2 linked regions of the Sus scrofa genome follow. Each later gene encodes a partner of the first gene's protein in a complex. Links are inferred from orthologs where the notes say so. Each region holds a gene or a part of one and is shown on either strand. Other genes may lie near its edges. The genes, in order: GBA and SCARB2.

What was found.
Region 2: the proteins of GBA (region 1) and SCARB2 are in contact, whole or in part, in a cryo-EM structure (PDB 9FJF), measured with the Homo sapiens proteins. The link is inferred for Sus scrofa from reciprocal best matches to the Homo sapiens genes GBA1 and SCARB2. Residues at the interface, in NP_000148.2 of Homo sapiens: Leu130, Asn131, Ala134, Ile169, Glu190, Lys194, Leu195, Pro430, Arg434, Ile445, Thr446, Asp448; in NP_005497.1 of Homo sapiens: Lys161, Ala162, Tyr163, Gln164, Lys181, Glu183, Leu187, Phe191, Arg192.

Annotation. Positions count from the first base shown.
Region 1 is NC_010446.5:94,603,984-94,607,431, reverse strand, and holds the end of GBA (glucosylceramidase), read right to left. Parts: coding exon 3,412-3,448; intron 2,844-3,411; coding exon 2,619-2,843; intron 2,247-2,618; coding exon 2,083-2,246; intron 1,734-2,082; coding exon 1,617-1,733; intron 1,522-1,616; coding exon 1,416-1,521; 3' UTR 743-1,415; downstream 1-742. Other genes in the region: MTX1 (metaxin-1), read left to right, coding at 267-421, 522-736. UniProt on the Homo sapiens protein: Glucosylceramidase that catalyzes, within the lysosomal compartment, the hydrolysis of glucosylceramides/GlcCers (such as beta-D-glucosyl-(1<->1')-N-acylsphing-4-enine) into free ceramides (such as N-acylsphing-4-enine) and glucose.
Region 2 is NC_010450.4:71,907,445-71,911,678, reverse strand, and holds the start of SCARB2 (lysosome membrane protein 2 precursor), read left to right. Parts: upstream 1-1,217; 5' UTR 1,218-1,537; coding exon 1,538-1,654; intron 1,655-4,234.

The sequences.
Region 1 (3,448 bases):
GGCCAGAGCCGCCTCAGTGGTACAGGAGGGTGGGAGGGCGGCCAGGCCCAGGAGGGGCCTGCCGGGCTGTGGGGCACTCAATGTGCCCTTTATGCAGTCTTGGGATAGAGTCCCATTCAAGGCCAGGCTGGCGCCACCCGGGGCGCCCTCCCGACACCAGGTCCAGAACTGTGTGTCCTCTCCTCCCCCGGTGGCCCCCTGCTGCCCGGAGCCCACCTCCCAGAGCCGACTCTTCCTCCGACTCCATCTCTCCCGCTTCTCCTCAGCCCCGCCTCCCTGGACGCCTTTGTCTTCAGCTACTTGGCCCTGCTGCAGCAGGCGAAGCTGCCCAGTGGGAAGCTGCAGGCCCACCTCCGGGGGCTGCACAACCTCTGTGCCTACTGCACCCATATCCTCAGCCTCTACTTCCCCTGGGAGGGAGGTAAGGGGCGGATGGGTGGGTGGGGGTCGCCAGCCCTGGGAGAGGGGGGCAGGGATCCAGGAACTAGCTCCCCTGCCCACCTTCCTTCCTTGCCCCTCAGCTGAGGTGCCACGTCCACGCCAGACACCAGCGAGCTCAGAGACTGAGGAGGAGCCATACCGGCGCCGGAACCAGATCCTATCCGTGTTGGCGGGGCTGGCAGCCATGGCGGGCTACGCCTTGCTCAGTGGCATTGTCTCCATTCAGCGGGCACCTCCTGCCCGGGCCCCAAGCACACGGGCCCTGGGCATGGCTGAGGAGGATGAAGAAGAATGACGTATATGCTCCCAGGACTGATTTTTTTACTGTCATGCATTCCAGGGGCCCCTCTGTTTCCCCGTTGTTGGTATGGCTGGAAATGTGGTGCCACCCCCAGAATAAACCTGCTCACAATGACGGGGATCAAACATTCTCTCCTTCAAGAGGCGGTCATTTTTCCTAGCTGGTACGAAGCAGGGGGTCACCTGGGTGCTTGAGTCTACCCACGGGTGCTTGGCTTCTCTCGCTGCCTGTGCCCTAGTGCTGACATCTGTATGGGCCTGGTTCTACATCTTCAAGAAAGACAAACAGTTCCCAGTTTTGGGTCCGGCTTTCCTAGTCTCTTCCTTTCCTTAACCTCTCCCCCCACCCCCCACCCCCCGTGTTTGTGCAGACAGTGAGCTCACCACCCTGGGCCTGGGCCCAGTTTCCACAGGCAACCAGCGCATAGCACACGCTCACACAGGCATGGGGGTGGGGGACCACCGGGGCTTCCTGATCCCTTCCCTAGGGGCCTCTAGCCCCTGGCAGCAACTAGAGGGGAGAGTGAGTCACCCAAACCACGGCCTCCAGGCTTACGTCACCTAAGATCCCTTCGGCCCTGCTGTACCCTCTACAGCCACAGACAGCATGTGAGCTGACTCTGTCTCTTTAATGTCCATGCCGGGCCCAGGCGCCTGCTTCGGTATCTGCTCCATCACTTGCGATGCCACAGGTAGGTGTGAATGGAGTAGCCGGGTGAGATCGTTTCCAGGAAGCCCAGAGCCGGATCCTTGATGGTGAGAGGCACATCCTTCGAGGAGCTGGGGAGGGGAGGGAGGAGAAGCTGAGTAGGTGAGCAGCCCGCCAAGGCCCCCGTCCCGGCTTCAGCCCAGTTCCCAGGCCCTGCTGCTCTCACCGGTTTAGCACGACCACAACGGCCGAGCCATCGGGGCGCAGCAGTGCCACCGTGTCCAAGTTGTTCTTCTCACTGGCAGCCAGCCCCACTCTCTGGGAGCCCTCAGGAATGAACTTGCTGAAACGCAAACAGGCATGGTCAGGGACCCCATCCTAGACCCCCTGGCCCTAAGAAAGTCATCCTCCCTACCGCCACAGAACCCTGCCAAAGATCTGCCCTAACTCTCCAGGCCCCAAGCCAGACGGCTGGGCATGCCCTACCCTCCCACCTCCCAGCCCCAGCACTGGGCATTCTGGGGTTGTCTGTGTCTCTCCTCCCAGCTGGTCACTTCCTGCCTCGATGGTGCAAAAGGGAGAGGTGTACCTGCCCCAGGGATCCCACCCTAAACACCTTCCTGCTCCCTCATGTGGGGCGATACAAGCCCAGGGCAGGAAAGGCTAGGCTGGGGCCCAACCCCTCCACTCACCTGAAGTGGCCAAGGTGGTAAAACATGGGCTGTTTGTAGAATGTGTCCTTGGAGATGTCTACGATGATGGGGCTGTCGACAAAGTTGCGCACCCAGTTGGGTCCCCCTTCGGGGTTCAGGGCGAGGTTCCAGTCAGTCCAGCCAACCACGTGGTAGAGGAGGTTCTAGGGTAGGAACAGGGCAGTCCACATGGGGTCCTCAGGGCATTGAGTTAGGGGCACATGAGGGAGACCGACTCTGGCGCCTCAGCCCTGTGAGGGGGGTGTTTTGTATCCTTAATGTCTAAGGAGGGAGGGTTTGGGAGGATAAGGCGATCCCAAGAGGAGCTGAGAAATCGGGTGGATTGAACAAGGGTGACGGGGTGTGCAGATGGGGGACGGGAAGGCAAGCGAGCAGGTCGTGATATCCCAGAATTTGCCCCAAAGAGTAAGGCAGCTGGGGAAAAGCTGGAGAGGAGGGCCTCCCGTCAACCTTTGCTGAGATCAGTGAGGGGCCTGAGAGGGTCTGCTCTGCACAAAGGGACGCAGGTGGCATACCGTGATGATGCTGTGGCTATACTGCACCCCTCGATCCCAGGAGCCCAGCCGTACGCTCTGCTCCCAGAACTTGGAACCCACACAGGCCTCTGAGGCAAAAAGCATGGTGTTGGGGAACAGGCGGTGTGTCTCCCCCAGGGTGGCTTTTGCTGGAGCCAGAAAGTCCAGGTACCAGTGTACAGCAATGCCATGAACGTACTTAGCCGCCTCTGGGTCCGCCAGCACCTGTATGGGGAGAGAGAAGGACTGCTGGAGAGAGAAAGCCATTGATCCTGGGCCCTGCACAAATGGTTCCGGAAGAGGCCCTAGGACCTGAGAAGTAGGCAGTGGGATGAACCCAACCAGAGGGGGTTTGACAACCATGGGGCCCTGGAGAGCCGGAAGGGGGTCCTCACCACCCCCAGCACCTGGCTGGCCAGGGTGCTCTAGGATTCAAGAGTTGAGGCAGGGGTAGTTCCCATCGTGGTGCAGTGGAAACAAATCCAACTAGGAAGCATGAAGTTATGGGTTCGATCCCTGGTCTAACTCAGGGGTTAAGGATCTGGCGTTGCCGTGAGCTGTGGTGTAGGTTGCAGACGTGGCTCGGATCTGGCATTGCTGTGGCTGTGGTATAGACTGGCAGCTGTAGCTCCAACTGGACCCCTAGCCTGGGAACCTCCATATGCTGCGAGTGTGGCCCTAAAAAGAAAAAAAAAAAAAAAGTTGGGGCAGGGTAGGCACTCTGGCTGGGAGCCCGTCATCTGGATGCTGGATTTGGGGGTCGCAAGGGTACCGTGGAGGTCTTGGGCCTTACCACCTGGGCCCAGTGGGGCAGCAGCAAGCGCTGGTCA
Region 2 (4,234 bases), on another chromosome or scaffold:
CTGAGCAGCCCTGACCCGGAGCCCTGTCACAGCCGCTGAGCCCTAAAATCTATCTGCTGTTGCTCATCCCAGCTTGGGACAGAGGCCAGTTTCCTGGGGCTGCTCCCAGTCATGACTAAGAAGCTGCTCCTGGAGGGTGCTGGATTCCTGGACCAGGCCATTTTGGCTTGAGGACACCCCCCCACCCCACACCACCCCCATAGGCCTTGCTGAACTTTCTTAGAGCTGCGCTGGGTACTTCGTCCTGTCCAGCCTTCCTTCCTTCCTTGCCGCGCTCCTGCACAGAAGCCACACCTGCGTGTCCTTCAAACGGTGCTCCTGTCACCCCTGCTCCTCTCTAACGCTGCTGGGATCAACAGCCCCAAGGCTGCTGCGGGTATTAAGTAGGTATGTGTTGGCGCCTAGCCAAGGACTGCCATATAGTTGCCATATAGTTGCCATATAGTTGGGTTCCCTCAACTAATGTTTATGGAGTCCCCGCTGCGCGCGGACTTTTAGTCTCGGTGCCTGGGACGTAGTATCGGTGAACCAGGCAGGTGAGAACCTCCGGGCCTCCTGCTTAGGCTTCTTGCGGATCCCCTCCCTGCGGTAAGATAAAGCCGCAATTCTTCTACGGGACACGGGAGCGCTTCCAAGTCTGACCCCAAGGGGGCCTCCACACCTCCCACCCCAACCTGCACACCTGAGCCTGCGGGCAAAGGAAGTTCCTTCTTTTCTCTGACCATCTTGCTCTCTCACCCCCAAGGTCGTACAGCTGTTTCTTCTCCAAATGCTGCCTCCCTCCTCGCACACACCCCTCACGTGACAAACCCTTACCCATCCCCCAAGTCCCAGTTCTGTTGTGGGGTCCTTGGTCACCCAGGCAGAGATGCTTGCGGGCACAGATCTCAGCAGGCACCCCATAAAAGCACTTGTTACACTGCGCTTTTGCTGCTGTAACAGTGTCTCCGTTAACTTGTGAGCTCGTCTAGAGCAGCGGCAGTGTCCTATCCAGGCTGAATCTGCCGGCGCGGCCCTTTGTAGGCCCGCAGCTCCGGACCGAGGAGCGGGGACAGCCCGGGAGGATACGCGGTTTTCCCGGGTGACCGCGGGGGCCTGCGGCGAGGGGGCGGGGGCGCGGCTGGCGCTGCGGGGACCGGCCGGGGTCGATCCGGCCGAATCGCAGCTGCTGCCGCGGGGCACATGACTGCGGGCTCAGCCCCCGCCCCGCCCCGCCCGCTTCCCGGCGCAGCTGCCCGCTGTCTCCTCCCGGGGCTGCGGCGAGCCGGGCCGGCCAGCGTCCCCACCCTGCGCGCTCCCTCCCCACCGCCGCTGCCGGGGCGGGGGAAAGCGAAACCAAAGCGACCCTTCCACTCCGCGCCGGCAGGCCGGGTGCATCGAGGCCGCGATCGTCCAGCCGCGGAGCGGGGAGCGGCGAGCACCCGCCCGAGGGTCCCGGGTCTTCCGGCTGCTTACTGCGGCTGCGGGGGCGGCGGCGGTGCTCCTCCCTCCTTTCCCCTCCCGCCACCCGCCCCCCGGCCGGTGAGCGGTGCGCAGGATGGGCAGGTGCTGCTTCTACGCGGTGGGGACGCTGTCCCTGCTCCTGCTGGTGACCAGCGTCACGCTGCTGGTGGCCAGAGTCTTCCAGAAGGCCGTGGACCAGGCGATCGAGAAGGTGAGGCGTGTGTGTGTGTGTGTGTGTGTGTGAGAGAGAGAGAGAGAGAAGGCGCTTGAGTGCTGGGGGCACACTTCCACCCCACTCCCCACTGCTGAACCTTGTCCAGGGAGGATCTGTGCCCGGGCAAACCCTCTGGACCAGAGCCCTTTTTTCGCCCTCGCCTTCTCGGGGTGGGCTGGAAAGGGTTAAAGAAGGATGGCGAGGAATGGCACTGACCGTGTTCCTTTTAGAATAATAAGACTCTGGATCTCGACTTTTTAAAAGGCTAGCCCTTATATTCCACCATTTGCATTCCCCCACCCCCACCCCAGGCCCTCCCTTTGCCCCATCACTGTTGGGCCCAAGCTCGTTTCCCTCCGACTTCATGAAGAAATAAAACTAAATGAAAGACACCACAGCTGGAACAGGTTTTTGGCTGCTTGCTGAGGCCTCTGAAGTGGTGTGGGGCTGAGGAGGAAAAGCGGGTGTGTGGTCTATTGTGTTCTTGCCTTCCTGGGCTGGGCCTCGCATTGGGTAGCCAGGCCAGGCCTCTGGGGTGGGTGACATTTCAGTGCTCACCCACAGACTTAGCCGGTTCGGTCAGAACCAACATCCTCCGTTGCTTTGTCTCACTCATGGTTCTTCCTCTTCAACAGCGGTAAACCTCAGGCAAAGATGCATTTCGATTCATAACAGAATCTGAGCCAGTCCCGTCCACCTAGGTAGGTGGGCTGGAGAGCTCGTCATTTCAGATTTCTCCATCCTATGGCTTCCCCAGGAGTCATTTCTTCTGCCCTGTCACCCACATCCACCAATCTGTGTGGAAAGATGAAAAAGAGAGTTACTGAGACACTTTTTCCTAAAACAAAAGGGAAAGAAAGAAAAAGATTGGAGCAGCCTTTCTCCTTAGCACCCATAACTTCATGCCTCGTTTCTCCTGCTGGTTAACTCTTGCTCCTGGCCGGATAAAAAAGCCCAGGCTACCTCCGGATTTGATCACTGCATTCCCAGTTAGCAAGATTGTTTCATTCTAGGTGGCAACAGGCATATTTCTTTAATACAGGTTTCTTTTTTTCTTTTTGCTTTTTTCTAGGGCCAATCCCTGGGCATATGGAGGTTCCCAGGCTAGGGGTCTAATCAGAGATGTACCTGCCAACCTAGGCCACAGCAACTCCAGATCCAAGCCACGTCTGCGACCTACACCACAGCTCACGGCAGCACCAGATCCTTAACCCACTGAGCAAGGCCAGGGATCGAACCTGCAATCTCATGGTTCCTAGTCGGATTCGTTAACCACTGAGCCACACCGGGAACTCCTACTAGAGGCTTCTAGAACCCATCAGTTAGGAGTTCCCATTGTGGCTCAGTGGTTAATGAACCCCGGACTAGTATCCATGGGGACTTGGGTTCCATCCCTGGCCTTGCCCAGCGGGTTGAGGATCTGCCATTACTGCCAGCTTGTGGTGTAGGTCAGAGGCTCAACTTGGATCCCAAGTTGCTGTGGCTGTGGTATAGGCAGGCAGCTGTAGCTCAGATTGGACTCCCAGCCTGGGAACCTCCATATGCCACAGGTGTGGCCCTAAAAAGAAAAAATAAAATAAAATAAAAAAAAGCCATCAATTACTTGAAATCTGATAGTTAAAGGCAATTTTTAAAAGATGCCATTGCAGGAGTTCCTGTTGTGGCTCAGTGGTTAACGAATCCGACTAGGAGCCATGAGGTTACGGGTTCGATCCCTGGCCTTGCTCAGTGGGTTGAGGATCTGGCATTGCCGTGAGCTGTGGTGTAGGTCAAAGATGCGGCTTGGATCCCGCATTGCTGTGGCTCTGGCATGGGCTGGTGGCTACAGCTCCGATTGGACCCCTAGCCTGGGAACCTCCATATGCCGTGGGAGCAGTCCAAGAAGTGGCAAAAAGACCAAAAAAAAAAAAAAAATGCCATTGCAAAGCATAGTTTATTTATTTATTTATTTTAAGTTCACATTGCCAAGGGGAGACAAAGCTTCTTAAAGGCCATTGTTTTCCCTGAGCACCTGTGTTCGGAGAAAAAGCTAAACCAAATTTCTCCACTCCCGGGCCCCTGCAAAGCCATGGCAAGATTGTTCAAGGATGTAACCTCTCTCCTGGGTGACTAGAGTTGAGCAATCCAATTATAGTCCATTGAATTTTCTTGCGTGGCTTTGAAAGGCTGTTTCAAGGGAGCCCGGCAGGACAGTTGATCGCCCCAGTGCCCTGGGTACTCATTACCAGCCCTCAGCCACTCTGTGGCTGTGTTCACGGGTGGGGGCAGGGAGGGGGGAGGCGCTATTAGGCAGCTTGGGTGGGGCTTGAGTGCGCGTTGATTTTTGGTGCTTTTCTCCCTGAGGCATGGACTCTGATCTGACTAATAAACCAAAGTACAGGGGAAGTGGACTTGCCGCATTCCTTGACCCTGTTAAGCAACCCTGCACAAGACGGAGTGTGCCAGGGAGAATTTCAGTGGACAGGCGAGGGGCTCTTGTGGGGCCAGAGGTCATTCATTGCTATATCATCACCATCCTGCTTTTCTGGATCACCTGTAGGGTGGTAGCATGAGAGGCGTGGGAAAGAGGAAGGACTT